5 linked regions of the Macaca fascicularis genome follow. Each later gene encodes a partner of the first gene's protein in a complex. Links are inferred from orthologs where the notes say so. Each region holds a gene or a part of one and is shown in the gene's direction. Other genes may lie near its edges. The genes, in order: ARHGEF6, PAK1, DCP1A, MAP3K5 and DAB2IP.

Region 1 (4,235 bases):
CATTTATTCATTCATTCATTCAACATTTTTTTTTTTTTTGAGACGGAGTCTCGCTCTGTCGCCCAGGCTGGAGTGCACTGGCCGGATCTCAGCTCACTACAAGCTCCGCCTCCCGGGTTTACGCCATTCTCCTGCCTCAGCCTCCCGAGTAGCTGGGACTACAGGCGCCCGCCACCTCGCCCGGCTAACTTTTTGTATTTTTTTTAGTAGAGACGGGGTTTCACCGTGTCAGCCAGGATGGTCTCGATCTCCTGACCTCGTGATCCGCCTGTCTCGGCCTCCCAAAGTGCTGGGATTACAGGCTTGAGCCACCGCGCCCGGCCTCAACATTTTTTAACATCTACCATGTATACCTGGCAGTCTGCTGGTAACACAGTGTTAAATAAAACAAACAAGACCCCGAGTTTAGGAAGCTTACATTCTGGTGGAGGAGTCAGATCATCATATCAACAAGTGATAATAGTGAAGTGTGACAAGTGTCCTGACAGAGCAAGAAAGGGCAGCTTTGAAAATGTTTAGTAGGGTTATCTAAGCTGATTCTTTGGTAGTAGATGCCTGAAGCTGTGTTGAAAAGAATTCTGAGGCTTAGCAGGAAAGAGCTATAAATGATCTGATGTCTCCCATGCTTGAGGAGAGGTGATGATGGTAAGTGCCACACATTTGCCAACATAGAGTTATACTATTAAAGTTGGCCTTATCATACATTTCCCAATAGTATGCCTATTTCAAGTGGTTCTGAAAATGTTTGAGAATGATGAAGATCTCTTGTTATAGACTTTTTTTTTTTTTTTTTTTTTTTTTTTTTTCAGAGCAGTATTTTGAGTGCAAAGTGTTTTTTTGTTGGGGAAATATGAATCTTCCACATTGTAGTGTAGATAGAGGACAAGTGCTCTTTTGTTCTCAAACATTCTATTTTTTCAAATGTATTTTACCCACTTATGTGACTGAGTCTGAGCCTTTGCTTAGGGTACTGCAGCTGGATTATGTAGTGGAACCAGGTCCAGAAAAAGAATTGCTAAAGAATGCAAGTAAACAGGATGTCAGATGTTATCCTTAGCCTATTTCCCTAAACATAGCTTTTTGGCTGCAAAGTAAAATGCCATTCTTCTAGCTTCTGCTTATACACAGTGATGGCTGGCAGCAGGCACAATCTTCGTTTGCTTGGCACGTTGTCACCATGCAACTCAACGTGTTTTGCAAGGAATCATCGTGACACACCATCTCTGGGAGATAGTATGAGGACATCCGGTTATTTCTTGGAAGAATTTTCTGCCTACCTTCTTTGAGCCCTGTTGTGCCAGCGTATCTCCCCATGAGGCTCAGATCTGTCTGACCTAAGAGCCAGTTGGCATCGTCCTCCTAACAGAAGCCAGATTTTCACTGGGGCTAGACTATTTATTGACAGTGTTTTCCCAGACTGGCCCATGAGTGTCTCATTTCCAAGGTCCCCTGAAGTGCTGGCTCACCTCTGTTTCCCAAAGCACTTGCTTGCTTGTCTCTCCTCCCTCCCCAGCATCCTTCTCACTTTCTTCCCTTATAACTTCTCGCACTCTGTGTGCGTGTGTGTGTGTATGCGTGTGTGCATGTGTTTTTCTTCTTCTTTTTTTATCCTAATGAGTTTGTTTTACAGGTTTTGAAAAGGAAAAACCAGTGTTATCCAGGATTGTTAGGTTAATTCTTATCTGTTTCCACGTCTTGGACCGTGATCTCTGTGGTTTTAAAATCCTGTATTTTGAGTGGGTTCCGCTGTTGTTTGAGAAAAGTTGCTTTAAACCTTTGCTCTACAAGCACCCGAAGAGAACTCATAAAAAGGAAGACAACAGCAGATGCAATCGCGGATGTGGCTTAGTCCTTGCAGCTGCCCCAGAGTGCTGTTTGGAGTGTACTGTCCTCAGTAATGAATCCAGAAGAACAAATCGTGACATGGCTTATATCTTTGGGAGTTTTAGATTCCCCTAAAAAGACCATCTGTGATCCGGAGGAGTTTTTAAAGTCCTCGCTGAAAAATGGGGTAGTTCTGTGCAAACTGATCAACAGACTCATGCCCGGCTCTGTGGAAAAGGTAAGGGAAATTTGTAGTCTCTTTGGGATTGCTTATCACCAGAGAGTAGCAATCATATAACTCTTGAGATTTTTCTATTTCCCAGGCCGTGGGAGTCTCCTACTTTAATATTTTTCTAAGAGTTAGACATTTTTTCTTACTGTTTTTGTAGTTTGAAAATGTAAGAAAATGAAATGTTGTTCTTTAGTAATTGGCCCCCAAATTGTAGTATAGGGAAAACCTGTGACACTACTGGCAATAGGGGACAAGGAGAACACTCATATCACAAGCTTGCTCTATCGTGGAGATGCATGTTACATCTCCTTGTGTACCGAGGACATGTTTTGAACTTGGGGTACTTATGAGTCTGTGGAAAAATAGAATGATTTATAACAGATCTTGGTGGTGTTTTTTGGCAGTTTGACTAAAATCAGTGTAGATTTCGTTTTACAAAAATCCATTGAAGGAGAGACTATATAGCAACTAAGAGTAATAATTCAAAATGTCACATAAAGTTTGTAAAAGCAATAGAAACCAGATATATGTTTCGAATGCAATGTGCGTTCAAAGTGAAACTAACTTTACTCTCTTTAAAACAATTCAAGATTTTTAATAGCTGGAAACCCATGATCACAAGAATAGATAATTTCTTAAGTAGGCACTTTAAGTAGCTTAAAGGTACAATTTTACATTTACTTTCTTAAGGTCATCATGGACTGTGAGTATATCACTTTTGCCTGCATGGACCAGTTTGTATTTTTATTGAGCAAATAAATTTACTTATAGTTTCTTAAACTTGAGAAAGAGTGATTACATAGTGATAAAATGTAAAGAAATGGGATCAAATGTAGAGAACAGCCAAGGGGAAATATAATTTTATTAAATTATCAGGGGGAAGCGAGGAAAGAGAGAGGTACCAGGGATTGCTTCCTTTCTTGAAAGCAAGAACTAAGCTAAAAAAACTGTCTTGGTCTCCCTAATTTGCCATCAGCACACTGGAATAGAAGGCATGAGAGAAAGCTTGTAAGTAGACATGACTTGCCACTAAAGGTTTGGTGACATTTGAAACAAAGATCGACCGTTTAGATTTTTGCATCACTTCCTTCAGTGGTTATTTCTCTTCCTGGATTGACAGCAGTGTTGCCCCATACCTTAAGAAGCCTGCTTTCTCTAGTTATCAGCAAATGATGAATATACTTTGCTTGGCATGGGATGACAATCTCCAAGTGACATTTCACTGTGTTCCTCTAGTTTTGTCTAGATCCCCAAACTGAAGCTGACTGCATCAACAACATCAATGACTTTCTGAAAGGATGTGCAACCCTCCAAGTGGAAGTAAGCCTACCCCGGGTGCCTTCCCTGTTGTTATTGTTTTTTTTGCTCTGCTAATCAAGATTGGTAGTAAAAGTACTTGGTTTATTTTCACTGTCATTGGCCACTGAGTTAAACAGAGGTAGCAGACTGGTGGTCCCCAGTAATGGATTGCTAGTCTGTCTTTTCCAGAAACCAGTTCCAAGCAAAACAAAACAAAATCAAAACTCAAACAATGATGTCTTTTATATACAGCATCCAAGCCCTGTAAACAGGCTTCCAGTGACAGAGCTTGTGTGGGTGTGTTCCCCTACTAAGGGGGAACCAAAAGCAGGCCACTGACTGTTGGAGAGGGTCACTGTAATCCTCCCAAGTTGAGAAAAGAGGAAAGGCCATTGTTACTCCTTCCCATTAACACTTTAGAACAGAGGCCTTGAAAAGCTGAGAGAACTTGGCTCTGAGGTAGAAATTGTGTAGTAAATTTTGTTGCATTATTTTATATTATATGGATCCCTACAGTGTGTATAGGAAGTGTTGCTGAAAGGGAGTTGATACTTCCACATGTGCATCAAGTTGCTTAACTTCACTGTGCTTCATTATTTTTATCTGTAAAATGGATATGCTAATAGCCAACTCATGGGATTGCTTTAAGAATCAAATAAGGCTGGGCATGGTGGCTCATGCCTTTAATCCTAGGCCAAGGCAGAAGGATTGCTATAGCCCAGGAGTTCGAGACCAGCCTGGACAGTATGGTGAAATGGTGACTCTACAAAAAATACAAAAATTAGCCAGGCATGGTGGCGTGTGCCTGTAGTCCCAGCTACTCGGGAGGCTGAGGTGGGATGATCGCTTGAACCCGAGAGGCGGAGGTTGCAGTGAGCTG
Region 2 (3,516 bases), on another chromosome or scaffold:
AGAGTCTTTAACTTCTTCCATCTGCCAGGAATATCCTTTTCTCAGCCCCATGGCTTGCTCCCTTAATTCATTCAGGTCACTGTTATATGACATCTCATTAGAGAGGCTTGCCCATGCCTATGGTATCTAAAATAGTGTCTCCCCACCCCCCCAACCAATCTCTGCTCCTATGTGGAGCAGAGACTTTGGTGATTGTTTTTTACTCTATTCTCTTCTAGAATGTAAGTTATAGAACCAGAGGCTTTATCCGTTTTATTCTTTATTTAGCCCCAGAGCCTAGAATGGAGCCTGGCACACAGTGAATGGATGGATGGATGGCTAGATGGGTAGATGGATGATGAATAGTGGAATGTGTGGCTTTTGTTTGAAACAGAGATTTGTGATTATTAGACATAATGATAATTTAATTGATTCCTTACATCTTTCTAGCTCTTTACCATTTTCAGTGATTTTATGTTCACTTTGCCTCATTTCATCCATTTAATGGCCCTCTGAGGTAGGCAGAAAGCTGTAGTCATTATCCCTATTTTATATATTAAAAATGTGAGACTTAACTTAGACCCTTGCCCAAGGACACAGGGCTAACAAGTAAAAATCTAGGTAATAACCTAGACCTTTCTCTCTCTGACAGATGTTATTATCACTGCCCAAAGCTATCACCTATGGAAGACAGAATCTTTTACTGAGGAAGGTGATGAAATCCCCTTCTCTACAGTTTTATAAAGCAAACAAACCTAGTGTTTATAGTATACATCAGGGGAGCTCCAGGGCTACCTGATGATGAAGAGCCTTGCTGAGTCAACTTTATTCCCACATTAGGTTTTTAGTTAAATTTTGTTGACTAGTGGGGAGAAAATAAATTAGAGCAGAAAAATATCGAAATACATATTTTGACAGGGAAAGAACCTCTCTTGAGTTTTGGAACTGAAAACGATTTAAGGTCATCCCTCAAATTATAACACTCCTCTTCCTTCACATTCCTCAGGTGATTAAACTTCAAACCAAGAAGACAGATTTATTGCCTGTGGTCACAACTGCTTATATATGCCCAGCACTGTCAGTTTTTAAGTTATGCTTTGTGCTGGAGGCCCTGTTAAAGTCTATGAGAGTGCCAGTTTTTCCTACTTTTGTATGTCAAATGTGGTAAAAGACAGTCTTCCACAGTCAGTAGCTCTAGTATATTATTCCTTAGTTCTTCCATTTATCCCGTTATTCTGACTCTTGACCTTCCTCTTAGGAGGCTCCAGGTGTCAGGCAGGAGGGGCTCTCATCCTCTGTCTATCTCCTATACCAGATGGTCACTACTTTAGGACATGGACCATCTTTTTCATCTTTGTACATTTATGTCAACAGTATCAGTCTTACTGAGCACAAAGTAGGTGCTCTGAAAATACCTGAAACTATTGAATTATATCAGTATATATTAAAAGATCCCCATTGCCTCTCTGGTTCTTTGCTGACCAAATGATAGAATCATTTGGTCTCTATCAAAAATCTCATGTTTTGGAGGCATTTTGTCTCTTAATTCTGTGTAATAAACAGTAATGGTATGCTATTTTTGCCTGGACCTGCCCTAAAACCTGCCACTCTTGGCCCAGCTCTGTTACAGTTTGCATGGGGAAATCAGGTTGTCACAGATTGTGAGCAGATCTAATTAGTGATAAGTTCCATTCCAGGGTAGGGCGGAAGCTTAGGGAAATAGTATCCAGTCTGGGGAGAAATTCATTGTTCTCTTTAGACAACATGATCCTGATGCTGATGTTCTTTATCTTCAGGTTGAGGTGAGGACCCCTGGTGACGTAATGGGTCCAGGAAATTTTTGCAAAGAGAGGAAAAGGACAGGGCAAAAGCCTGTTTAGACTGCCATTTACCATATCAGGAGAGAGTAAGAAATTATAATGATGAATTTTGAAAAATTAGAAACTTTTGATCCCTTCCCTACATTTCATACTTTATTTCCTATTCAGTATGGAGAGCAAAATTCATAGAATAAGAAGGTACTGTGAGCTTGTCTTCAGGGGTTGGGTTGGGGGAGAGGCAGGTAGAAAAGCTGTAAGCTAGCTTCCCATTCACAGTTAGGCTTTGGGTGGGAGAAGGAAGCTCCAAGGGATTGAGTGGATATGATGGCTAAGAGAAGAGGGAGAAACAGATTGAGTTTCTGAGACTAGCTACATGGAGGTGAGAGCTTGGAGGCTAATGTGGATTTCAGAAGGGGTATCAGGTTGGGGTTTCTCCCTGGGGGGTTTGGTGATCCTGATAGTTAAGTTCCATGGCAGCTGGACCAGATGCATCTTGCTTTTCTTCTTTGCACAGAATGTGAAGGCTGTGTCTGAGACTCCTGCAGTGCCACCAGTTTCAGAAGATGAGGATGATGATGATGATGATGCTACCCCACCACCAGTGATTGCTCCACGCCCAGAGCACACAAAATCTGTGAGTCTTTGGGACCTGGACAGTTTTGTGATTTATTAGAGTAAGTGGGGAGAGGGAGGAGTTGGTGCTAAGACCTAGAAATTTAATATTCTGGTAGGGGTCCTTAGATTTTGGAGCTGGTGAAATCACTGAACTACCTTGACTAAAGGTACTTTCTGTATGATTAAAGACAAAAAATGGTGTATTTATTTATCATCGGTTTGTAGATAGTCCCAAAGTGTCCTATGTAATTGATGTTTATACCAATCCAGTCTTGGTTTGCTTAGCCTGTTCTCCACAGATAGGACAGGAAGATATACAGGATTGATGCTACTTAGTGCAGGACAAACATAAATTATTCCAGTCTCCAGGGAAGCAACAAATTGTCTTGCTACAGATCTTTTCTTCTCTGTTAAATATGCAGCATTGAGCCTCTTAGAGCATTATCGATAATACTGAAAGACCCAAGAGAATTTATAAATACATTAGCGCTATTAATATGCTGGGCATCAGGAGTGCATTTTGATGCCGGATGTTGGCAATGATTTCTGTTTAACTTTCTTTGAAGTTCCTGCATCTGAGAATAGCCATAGTCCCTCTACCCTTGCTTTGAAAAATCTAGTCCCCGTGCCTTTTACTTAATTTGGCATCACTGAGCACTGACCTGCCATCAGATGATACTCTACTAGTGTTTCTTTGTTTAGGTCCATAATGAAGGAATCATCTAGCACTTCTGTGATCTTGAAAATAAATAAATAAATAAATAAAAAAGGGCTACCTCTGGAATACGGCATTCAGGGAGGTGTTCGAACAGAAATTGGTTGAGTGACTATTGGAGATGCTGTGGAGGAAATTCAAAGGAATTATATGACCTTTTAAGATGAGAACTTATAAACAGAATCTGTGGAATCATTTTCTCTGTAGGTCACAAAGTTACCTTAAGGGAAAATGGGCTTCAAAATTGGAGAGTTGTTAACACTGATATGTTTTTTTTTTATTTGTAGGCATGTTCATTTAAAACATTTTTTTCCCCACTAAACCATGAACACCTCAAAAAGTAGAGGAAATCCATATATATGTATTTCTAGTGTTTAACATAGTTCT
Region 3 (3,516 bases), on another chromosome or scaffold:
AAAAGATAATACATAGACTAGCTCTGTAAAATAATGTTTTTCATTACCTCTGTTGTTTTATTACTGCATGGGTGGTTGTCTTTTATGACTGGTTCTGTCCTCTTTCCCAACCCCTAGAAGTTCTAGATTTTGTACAGTGTCTTGTTTGAGAGTTCTTTAGAAAGCTTGGATTATGCATAATGGCATATTTTTTATTTTTAACTTATTCAAAAATTCATTATCTTTAAGATTGGTTTGCAAATTGCAACTGTTTTGTTAGGCAGCTTCTGGGGCCTAAAGACAACTGACAGTATATGATAGTCATGGGGTGCTTGTTTTCCTGGATTCCTCTAAGGTCTTACTCTGACAAGGACAGGTTCCTTCCCTTGTTTTCTAAAGCTTGAGTCAGCAGGAGTTATTACTGGTATCTGGTCTTTTCCCTTTTTTTTTGCATTGAGTTGCTTTTTAAGGATTGCCTTTCTCCATTGATGCCAATTTAAAATAATTTGTCAAATACTCTTCCAAATTTTGATACAAAGCCTTGAGATCTTATCTAAATGCACTCCATTTTTTTCTTCTTTTAAGTGTAATTCTTTGATATTTGTACACCAAGCTCTTCTTTCTTAGACACTTTGTTTGTTCGCTGCTATACATCTTTCTTCTTTTAAAAAGAAAGGGATCGGCCAGACGCAGTGGCTCACGCCTGTAATCCCAGCACTTTGGGAGGCCGAGGCAGGTGGTTCACGAGGTCAGGAGATAGAGACCATCCTAGCTAACACGGTGAAACCCCATCTCTACTAAAAATACAAAAAAATCAGCTGGGCGTGATGGTGGGTGCCTATAGTCCCAGCTACTCGGGAGGCTGAGGCAGGAGAATAGCGTGAACCCAGGAGGTAGAGCTTACAGTGAGCCGAGGTCAAACCATTGCACTCCAGCCTGGGTGACAGAGCGAGACTCTCATAAAATAAATAAACAGATAAATAAATAGGAAGGGATCTTTACCCTCACTCCCTTCATTACTCTTCATTAGCAGTATAAATCTCTAGAAACTCTGTTATTAGAACCTTAGTTTCTATGATATTTGGAAAAGGTACTTTACTGGCTTTATTGTTATCATACAGAGGCACTGATTATAGAAAGTAGGAGATTTAGTGTAGTGGTGGCTGGATTTAATACAATTCACAGAGTCTAATATGGTACTGATTCTAATTAAATGAGACGCAAGAAACTGTGTTTGGAAAATGTGAGACTATTTTGTGTACCTTGGATAAAGGTATACCAAGATGTCAGACTATCACTTTGCAGAGATTACTTCGTATAGTAGAAGCTTGGATTTGGAGTCAAAAAACCTGAAACTGAATCCGAATTACATTATTTGTAACTCATTATTTGTGTGACCTCAGGCACAGTCCTTAATCATTCAAAGCTTGTCTTCTAGTCTGTAGAATAGTGTTAACACCCCATATATATCGTAGAGAAACAAACGAAAAACTATGAAATGTTAGGTACATGTGAAGAGTAAGGGATCATATACCGAATCCCTCTGATACGGGAACCAAGGATGTTTCCTATTGTAGGATTCAAGGCATTTTCTGTCTAACTCAGGAGCACTATGTAAAGATCTGTTTGGTGCAAGAAAAACCATTATTGTAATGATGGGCAGCCATTATAGCCAATCCAATGGAATGATATTTCATTCAGCAACTGTGTGTCTATATTGGGATGTATGTGTGAAAAAAGTAAGACAAAAGCTCCATTTGCATGGGGCTTACATCCTAGTGGGGGCAGGACAATAAATATTAAAAATAAGTAGTATGGATAAAAGAGAAAGGTTAGAGGTATTGAGCTTGGGAACATTAAAAAGGGTAGTTCAAGTAGGCCTCATGAAAAAGGTGACATCTGAACAAAGGCTTGCAGGAGATGAGATAGCTGTGCAGCTTCTGGGGCCGTAATCCAGGAAGAGGTCTTTAGGTAGAAGCACACATGCAGAGAGAGTGGCAAGGAGCCCAGTGTGGCTGGAGAGGAGGAGGTGGGGAAGAGCCATAGGAAATGAAGTTAGAGGGGGAATACATCAGGTGGGGCCTTGGTGGCCTCAGTAAGGACTTTGACCTTTACTCTGAGAGACTGTCTTTGGAGACTTCTCATCAGAGGAAGAATATGATCTGACTTAAATGTTTTGTTTACAGGTGTAAGTGCTTGATAATATTGTATGTTCTAACGTACTCTTTTCTGAAATGAAAATAAAGCACATAGTAGATAACATTTCTACAGATTAAATGGTAACTGCATATTTTTTTTTCCTTCTATTAAATCTAAGGTCAGCTTCCCCTTACCATGGTTTTACCATTGTGAATCGACTAAATATGCACAATCTAGTTGAACCAGTGAATAAAGATTTGGAATTTCAGCTCCATGAACCATTTCTTCTGTATAGAAATGCAAGCTGTGAGTATATCTGTTTTATTATAGTTATTACATTTAAAATCGAGTGACTTTAGTTTCTATCAATCCATTATTTAGTAAGTTTCAAATTACAAAACAAAATATGGCCTATACTTTATGATTATAAATGAGTCTGTTAGAAAGATCAGACGTTTTAAACTGGGCTCTGAGACCAGACGTGGTGGCTCACGCCTGTAATCCCAATACTTTGGGAGACCGAGGAGGGCAGATTACCTGAGGTCAGGAGTTCGAGACCGCCCAGGCCAACATGATGAAACCCCATCTCTACTAAAAATACAGAAAAAAATTAGCCGGACTTGGTGGTGGGCACCTGTAATCACTTGAACCTGGCAGGTAGAGGTTGCAGCGAGCCGAGATCGCGCCATTGCACTCCAGCCTGGGCAACAGAGTGAGACTCTGTCTCAAAAAAATAAATAAATATACTGGGGTCTGAAACTAGAAACATTCTTTTGTATATAATTTTGTTTACTATTTCATTTACTAGCACTACATTTATGTTGTTGGTTTATTAAAATAAGGTTTATGCCTTTGTTTTTTTGCAGCTGTGGACTATCAGCTGCCCACATCCCTGAGCAACAGAACTTAGTTTGGGACACACAGGATGGGAGCAGATACAGATAATTCTTTCCACAAAGAAAGTATTATTTTTGCCCAGAATAGTGGTGGTGGGGTTTTTTTTAAAGATATTTATTACTTTTTCTACTTTATTTTGTCTGAATATGTTTCTAAGTAGGGTTTTTCTATCTGTTTATTTAATTGAGTGTCTGCTGGTTACCAGCACTGAGCCAAGAGCTATGGTGCTTTAATGTTTGTAACCTATGTGCTATAGGGAGGCAGTTAAGTCAACTAAGACTCAGAGATGCAAAACTATTACTCTGTTGGAGAGTTAGGATTATAACTCTTCTGCTTTTTAGTCCAGGGTTCTTTCAGGCATTTTTACAGCCTCTAATAATAATTGGATGCAGTCAGCAAAGCTAGATTGGCCCTTCCAAGAAACTACAGTACTAAAAAGTGTACTTGATTCCAGTGTGTTGGTATGGATATTGAAGGTATGGGTGTTTGAGGACAGTTTGT
Region 4 (3,406 bases), on another chromosome or scaffold:
TTTAACAAGTTACAGCTGAATAAATTTAAACAACTCCAGAATATACATTCCTCTAACTTAGGCTCAAATCCCAATTACGGAATAGTAATTGATAATCTACTAAATAATTGCCCTTTCTTATTTGATTTCAAAGCTTCAGGACAGGTGCAGTGGCTCCCGCCTGTTATCCCAACATTTTGGGAAGCATAGGCAGATTGCTTGATGCCAGGTGTTGGAGATGAGGCTGGTCAATATAGTGAGACTTTGTCTCTCTATATATATATAAAAAAAATAAAATTTAAAAATGTAAAGGTGCAGTTCAAATTAAGATTCTGCTTTTATGGTGAATTACAGTCAAGTGCCTTTGCTTAACCATGAAAAAGTAAGTTCAGAAATTAAGCATAGGCAACACCTTTCCAGGAACACTTTTTATCCACTTGAGAAAAAACAAAGCTACATAGCATTGAACTTCTAAATACAAGATTTGTTTTTGAACAGCAGATGTGATTACAAGTGAGTCTCATCTGTTCATTAGAAGACCATTCAGAAGTTCTGTGTCACTTGTAATCTTTTTGCATTTGGAAGTTAATATGGATGCATTTGTATTTTTTTTTTGTATGGAGTCTCACTCTGTCGCCCAGGCTGGAGTACAGTTGTTCAATCTCAGCCCACTGCAACCTCTGCCTCCTGAGTTCAAGTGATTCTCCTGCCTCAGCCTCCCAAGTAGCTGGGATTACAGGCACATGCCACCACGCCCAGCTAATTTTTTGTATTTTTAGTAGAGATGGGGTTTCACCACTTTGGCCAGGCTGGTCTCGAACTCCTGACCTCAGATGATCCGCCTGCCTCAGCCTCCCAAAGTGCTGGGGTTATAGGTGTGAGCCACTGCACCCAGCCTGGATGCATTTATTTGTATTTATTGAGTAATAGGGAGGCCTTTCCCCTAATAATCACAGAAGATTGTGTTTTTAGTAATTTCATTTTTAGATTCATTTTTAATTATAGTCAAGGTTTACATTATAAATAGAGTTTGTGCTTTATTAAAGTTATATAAAACATCTTACTTTTGTGCATATTCTACTTTCTCTACAGTTTTTGGCTGAAGATTATACACTATTGGATGTTCTCTACTATGTTACACGTGATGACTTAAAATGCTTGAGACTAAGGTACCACTTTTCTTTCTGTTGTCACGATAGAAAGAGTACCGGGCTAATATAAGAAAGTCTGAGTACCTGCCCAGGCTGGGTCTCTAATTAGCTTTGCAGTTCTGGACAGAGCTCTCTAGTTCTTAGCTGCTCTGAGTAAACTGAGTTAGTTGGACCATTCTATTTTTGAGGGCTCTAATAACCAATATTTCTATATTAGTAAGTGAAAATCAACTGGAAGAATTTTTTTGAATAATATGCAGACTAAGTCCATGCAGATATTCTGAAGCTGCCTTACACAAATGCTTTAATTGAGTTCATGATGGTGTTATACTCAATAAATATTTGGAGGAGGTGCTGACTTGCCCTCCAAAAGCCTGGTATAATCTGATATAATTTATTATTAATTAAGGCCAAGCATAGAACTTTTTTTTTTTTTCCGAGATGGAGTCTCGCTTTGTCACCCAGGCTGCAATGCAGTGGCGTGATCTTGGCTCACTGCAAGCTCCGCTTCCCAAGTTCACGCCATTCTTCTGCCTCAGCCTCCCGAGTAGCTGAGACTACAGGTGCTCGCCACCATGCCCAGCTAATTTTTTTGTGTTTTCAGTAAAGACAGGGTTTCACCGTGTTAGCCAGGGTGGTCTCAATCTCCTGACCTCATGATCTGCCTGCCTCAGCCTCCCAAAGTGCTGGGATTACAGGTGTGAGCCACCACACCCAGCCCAAGCAGAAAACTATTATACCCACCATTATAAAGACAAATTTCAAAAATGCTGAAAATCTGAAATGATGTTTTGGGACACAGCAGTTTGTGGGAGTGAAAAGAGAAGGAATGGAGGGAAGATGAGAAAATATATACAAAAAGAATACATAATAACTGATCAGACTTTGGGATCTTCTTCTGACCAGAGCAGATGAAAGCTAAGAAGTCACTTTTCTATTTCAAGGGCAGTGTTTCAAATGAAATGTTCTTTTCACCATGTTCTTGTGTCTTTCAACAGGGGAGGGATGCTGTGCACACTGTGGAAGGCCATCATTGACTTTCGAAACAAACAGACTTGACTGTTGCTCAATTTAATCTTCAATGGAAATTCTAAAAATTAATACAGATCTGACCTTCTTGGGGGTGGGAAAATCGAAGGGAGAGGAGAAAGGAGCTGCACTTTAAATCCAGTATTTGTTTACTCACGTTAAAAAAAAAAAAAAACAGACAAAACACACTGAAATTTCCTAACTACATCTATTTCTATAATTTTTAAGGACTCTTCATAAGGACTCTTAAAATAATCCTGAACATTAGAACCCTAACGTTCAGGAAGATTTTAATCTAAGCATTTTTATGGAAATATTTTTAATGCAGCAGCTATTGCACTTCAGCCAAATGTTTATTTCACACAAAACGGATGTAACATTTCATGTGATTGTGCACCACTGGAACAAAACCAAAATGTGACCATAACTTTTTAGGCTTCTGTGTGTTTGTAATATGCTCTAATAATCTGAGTAGAAATGCATAATTTCAATTACTGTATAAAGTTTATGTTTTTTTAAGTGTGCAGAATCTGAGAGCAATGGTTTTTACTTCTCTGTGTTAATTGTAATATTGACTATATTTTGTAACTTAAGTTTCTGACCTGTCGTACATTTGTTTGAGTCGTTTATGTACTACTGAACTGTACCAGTTGCACATGCTTGAACCGTAGTAACGTTAGCTTGTTCTAAAGCTATCCATTGTGTCATATTTACTCTAAAAATTAAAAAGACTCTCAACATACTGTTTTGATAACTTCTAAAGAATTCTTATTTTGTATTGACAAACTAGATAGTCTGCTGTGTTAAATTTCCAGTCGTTTCTCCAGCTATAACATTTAGTAAAATCTGTCTTCTATTCAAGCAGTCAGACAACTGACATCCAGGTTGTTCCTCAGGGGAATGGAGGTTTAAGAAAGGGTAAGCCTGGGCAACAAAGTGAGACCCCATCTCTACAAAAACTCAAACATTCAGCTAGGTGTGGTTGTGCACACCTGTGGTCCTAGCTACATGGGAGGCTGAGGCAGGAGGATCACTTGAGCCCGGGAGGTTGAGATTGCAGTGAGCCATGATTGTGCCATTTCACTCTAGCTTGGGCAACAGAGTAAGACCCTGTCTCAAAAAAAAAAAAAAAAAAAAAAAAAAGAGGGTGAGGAAAAAAAGAATAAAGGGAAGTATATTTTTCTCAAGGCCCCAAGTTATCTTGGATGACTATTGTGTATCTTAAGGCGTCTGCAAAGACCATCTTA
Region 5 (3,516 bases), on another chromosome or scaffold:
CTTTTAAGCAGGGGAGGGTGCTGAGATCAAGAACCTGCTGAGATCAAGAACCTGGGGTTAGGGGAGCCTAGGAGGGGCCAGAGATGCAGGTCTGCTGAGTCTTGCATTGGATCTGTTCGGTGAATGTGCCAAGCGAAGCCAAGCAGAGTCACAGGCCAAGAGTTTGAAGTGGGGGGTGCGGTGGACAGCCCTTGAGCGGCTGAGAGGCAGCCGGGCCCGTGAGTTCTGAAAAGACGGACCTGGCGTGTGGCCTGGGCAGCCAGGTTCCCACTGCTCTCCATCTTTCCTGGCTCATCTGCTGCTCTAGCCAGCTCTCCCAGGCCCATGAGCATTGCAGCCCCGAGTGGCTGCTGCTGCCCATCTCAGGGAGTGGCGCTTCCTTGCCATCTGAGGCTAAGCCAACCCATTCCGCATTCCAAGCCATATCAACCCCCCCAAGTCCTTGCTGCCTTCAGTTCCCCCCACCCACGTTCTTCTCTCCAAAGCCCCCCCGGCCCCCACCACAGTTATGCTTTCTTCCAAAGGAGCTAGCTTCTGGGGAGGGGCCAGGGAGAGGCCAGAGAAAAGCGTAGAGTGAGGAGGAGGCCAGGGCAAGTGCAGCCCTCCCACCGAGTCATGCTCTCCATGGAGCCTGCTCTCATTCCTTGTTTTTGCCAGGAACTCCAGCCCCCGCCTGCCAGTCAAACAAGGGAGCGGCAGCAGGAGGCTGGGCAAGAGGAGGTTTCACCGGGCCCCCACTTCAGTTACCAGTCTGATTAGGAACAAGAGGGAAGAGGCAGAGGGAACCCAGTGACTCTGAAGTTGGAGTTCTCAATGCAGGATCCGTGGATAGCAGAGAGCCACTGAGTTGTGGCTTAGGGCTTAGCTAAGGAGGAGTTTTCCAGAGCAAGCCAGGCCCCAGTACCCATTGTCCCAAGATGCAGCTGAACAGGGAAGGGGTCTTCCAGGCAGCGCGGCCTGAAATGTGCAGTGCTGGCCCCTAAAGAAGAGGTTCTGTGCAGGAGCAGCCGCCTCAGCCTCTGGTCCCCGGATTCTCCCACTCCTGTTACCCGAGCGCATCCATCTCCCCAGCGCTGGCTTGGGCTGCCAGGCCCCGGCAGGTTGGTGGGTGCTGTCGGTTTGGACCCGCCTTGGCTGCACTCACAGTTCTTCTTTTCCCCTTCTTTCCCTGTGTGTGCTTGTCTCCCTGCAGTCTGATAGATTTCACCCGGTTACCGTCTCCAACCCCCGAAAACAAGGACTTGTTTTTTGTCACAAGGTCCTCCGGGGTCCAGCCCTCACCTGCCCGCAGCTCGAGTTACTCGGAAGCCAACGAGCCTGATCTTCAGATGGCCAACGGTGGCAAGAGCCTCTCCATGGTGGACCTCCAGGATGCCCGTGCGCTGGATGGGGAGGCAGGCTCCCCAGCGGGCCCCGATGTCCTCCCCACAGATGGGCAGGCCCCTGCAGCTCAGCTGGTGGCTGGGTGGCCAGCCCGGGCAACCCCAGTGAGCCTGGCAGGGCTGGCCACGGTGCGGCGGGCAGGCCAGACACCAACCACACCAGGCACCTCCGAGGGCGCGCCAGGCCGGCCCCAGCTGTTGGCACCGCTCTCCTTCCAGAACCCTGTGTACCAGATGGCGGCTGGCCTGCCGCTGTCACCCCGCGGCCTTGGCGACTCAGGCTCTGAGGGCCACAGCTCCCTGAGCTCACACAGCAACAGCGAGGAATTGGCGGCCGCTGCCAAGCTGGGAAGTTTCAGCACTGCCGCGGAGGAGCTGGCTCGGCGGCCCGGTGAGCTGGCACGGCGACAGATGTCACTGACTGAAAAAGGCGGGCAGCCCACGGTGCCACGGCAGAACAGTGCTGGCCCCCAGAGGAGGATCGACCAGCCTCCGCCCCCACCCCCGCCGCCACCTCCTGCCCCCCGCGGCCGGACGCCCCCCAACCTGCTGGGCACCCTGCAGTACCCAAGACCCTCAAGCGGAACCCTGGCATCGGCCTCACCTGATTGGGCAGGCCCCAGTACCCGCCTGAGGCAGCAGTCCTCTTCCTCCAAGGGGGACAGCCCAGAACTGAAGCCACGGTCAGTGCACAAGCAGGTCAGTGCCACTAGTCAGAGGGCAGGGCTGGGCACTTGGGCCCAGCTGGGCTGTCATACCCCATACCATCCTCCTCCTCTCAGTCATTTCACCTCCTCCCTCACCCAGCTGCCATCCCATCCCACCAGCCTGCCACATGCACCACCACCCCCTCCCCCTGGCTTCTTCCTGAATCCTGTGAACCAGGGACACTGTAGCCTTGGGGAACTCCAGGCCTTTCTGTCAGTGCCCCTAGGGGCAGGCTGGGGTCAGAGAGAAAGAGTGCATTCATCTTCAGTTCCAAGCCTGTCGAAGCCCTCACCCAAAGTAGGAGTCATCTTGCCCTACTCTGGCCCCACACTCCCCTCCCAAAATGTTTTCACAGGCTGGACAGACCTCCAGGCACAACCACCTGGAGCATGGATGGCCCTGTCACCCAAAGGCTGCAGGCGGTGTCTGGAGTGGAGGTGCCTTGGGCTGACAGCCCAGCCTGGCCCTGTCCTCCTCTCAGCTCAGCCTGCCCTGGTGCCCCCAGTGGCAGGGTCACTCTCTGTCCCCTTGGCAGCAGAGGGTGCTGCTCAGGAGGCCACCTGGCACCTATCGGCTTTGCCTTCGGCTACCGTCTGAGAGACAGTGTTCCTGGGTGGGGACTGCCTCTGTAGGCGCTCAGTCAGCTGGAGGACCCTTCCCTCCCCACCATGTCCCAGAGCTGCTTGTCCTTGTGGCTCACCTGGGCCACTAATGCCCTTCCTGCTTGCCCTCCTCCTCCCTCCAGCCCCTCACAGCTGTGTTTCGTTGTAGGGCCCTTCACCCGTGAGCCCCAATGCCCTGGACCGCACAGCCGCTTGGCTCTTGACCATGAACGCGCAGTTGTTAGAAGACGAGGGCCTGGGCCCAGACCCCCCCCACAGGGATAGGCTAAGGAGTAAGGACGAGCTCAGCCAAGCAGAAAAGGTAAAGCTGGACCCTGGCAGCTCGGGGCAGGGCGGGGCTGCCTCCTGGAGCAGCTGGTAGGAGTCTCTCCCCCAGGTCCCCCAGCAGTGGGTGCTTGTGTCCTTGTGAAGGGCTTGTCCCCTCTGAGCCCCTGTTCCCTGTGAGGATAGCAGTCAGTAGGGTCTGGAAGAAAAGTAACAAGAGGGATGGATTAGCAGCTTAGACCTGAGGCTTCCCATCTACAGATTGGAATCACAAGGGAATTGTCTTAGATATAGACTCCTGGGACCTCTGGGAAGGCTCCTTAGCCTGGGGCAACTGAGGCAGCTGAGCTTCCTGAGGACCTGGGGGTTGAGGGGCTGAGGGGCTGAGGGTGCCCAAGAGACATATAGAGCCCCCCTGAGGGAGCCTAGTACCTGAGGAGGCAGAGGCATGGGTCCCCAGGATGACTGGGAGAGCCACCCCAGCCTGGCCTCCGGGGCTTGTGCCTGCCCACGGCCTGGCTCTTCACCACTCTGGTCTC

Evidence for each region.
Region 2: ARHGEF6 (region 1) and PAK1 share a complex: the UniProt entries of both Homo sapiens proteins name them as parts of the cytoplasmic complex. The link is inferred for Macaca fascicularis from reciprocal best matches to the Homo sapiens genes ARHGEF6 and PAK1.
Region 3: ARHGEF6 (region 1) and DCP1A share a complex: the UniProt entries of both Homo sapiens proteins name them as parts of the cytoplasmic complex. The link is inferred for Macaca fascicularis from reciprocal best matches to the Homo sapiens genes ARHGEF6 and DCP1A.
Region 4: ARHGEF6 (region 1) and MAP3K5 share a complex: the UniProt entries of both Homo sapiens proteins name them as parts of the cytoplasmic complex. The link is inferred for Macaca fascicularis from reciprocal best matches to the Homo sapiens genes ARHGEF6 and MAP3K5.
Region 5: ARHGEF6 (region 1) and DAB2IP share a complex: the UniProt entries of both Homo sapiens proteins name them as parts of the cytoplasmic complex. The link is inferred for Macaca fascicularis from reciprocal best matches to the Homo sapiens genes ARHGEF6 and DAB2IP.

What each region holds. Positions count from the first base shown.
Region 1 is NC_088395.1:142,926,494-142,930,728, reverse strand, and holds the start of ARHGEF6 (rho guanine nucleotide exchange factor 6), read left to right. Parts: upstream 1-1,424; 5' UTR 1,425-1,897; coding exon 1,898-2,062; intron 2,063-3,292; coding exon 3,293-3,376; intron 3,377-4,235. UniProt on the Homo sapiens protein: Acts as a RAC1 guanine nucleotide exchange factor (GEF).
Region 2 is NC_088388.1:76,242,182-76,245,697, reverse strand, and holds part of PAK1 (serine/threonine-protein kinase PAK 1), read left to right. Parts: exon of another isoform or gene 1-631; coding exon of another isoform or gene 632-691; intron 692-2,313; coding exon 2,314-2,433; intron 2,434-3,516. UniProt on the Homo sapiens protein: Protein kinase involved in intracellular signaling pathways downstream of integrins and receptor-type kinases that plays an important role in cytoskeleton dynamics, in cell adhesion, migration, proliferation, apoptosis, mitosis, and in vesicle-mediated transport processes.
Region 3 is NC_088376.1:116,470,812-116,474,327, reverse strand, and holds part of DCP1A (mRNA-decapping enzyme 1A), read left to right. Parts: intron 1-2,296; coding exon 2,297-2,424; intron 2,425-3,516. UniProt on the Homo sapiens protein: Necessary for the degradation of mRNAs, both in normal mRNA turnover and in nonsense-mediated mRNA decay. Removes the 7-methyl guanine cap structure from mRNA molecules, yielding a 5'-phosphorylated mRNA fragment and 7m-GDP.
Region 4 is NC_088378.1:40,610,036-40,613,441, reverse strand, and holds the end of MAP3K5 (mitogen-activated protein kinase kinase kinase 5), read left to right. Parts: intron 1-1,071; coding exon 1,072-1,148; intron 1,149-2,128; coding exon 2,129-2,189; 3' UTR 2,190-2,901; downstream 2,902-3,406. UniProt on the Homo sapiens protein: Serine/threonine kinase which acts as an essential component of the MAP kinase signal transduction pathway. Plays an important role in the cascades of cellular responses evoked by changes in the environment.
Region 5 is NC_088389.1:36,204,655-36,208,170, reverse strand, and holds part of DAB2IP (disabled homolog 2-interacting protein), read left to right. Parts: intron 1-1,192; coding exon 1,193-2,081; intron 2,082-2,861; coding exon 2,862-3,014; intron 3,015-3,516. UniProt on the Homo sapiens protein: Functions as a scaffold protein implicated in the regulation of a large spectrum of both general and specialized signaling pathways.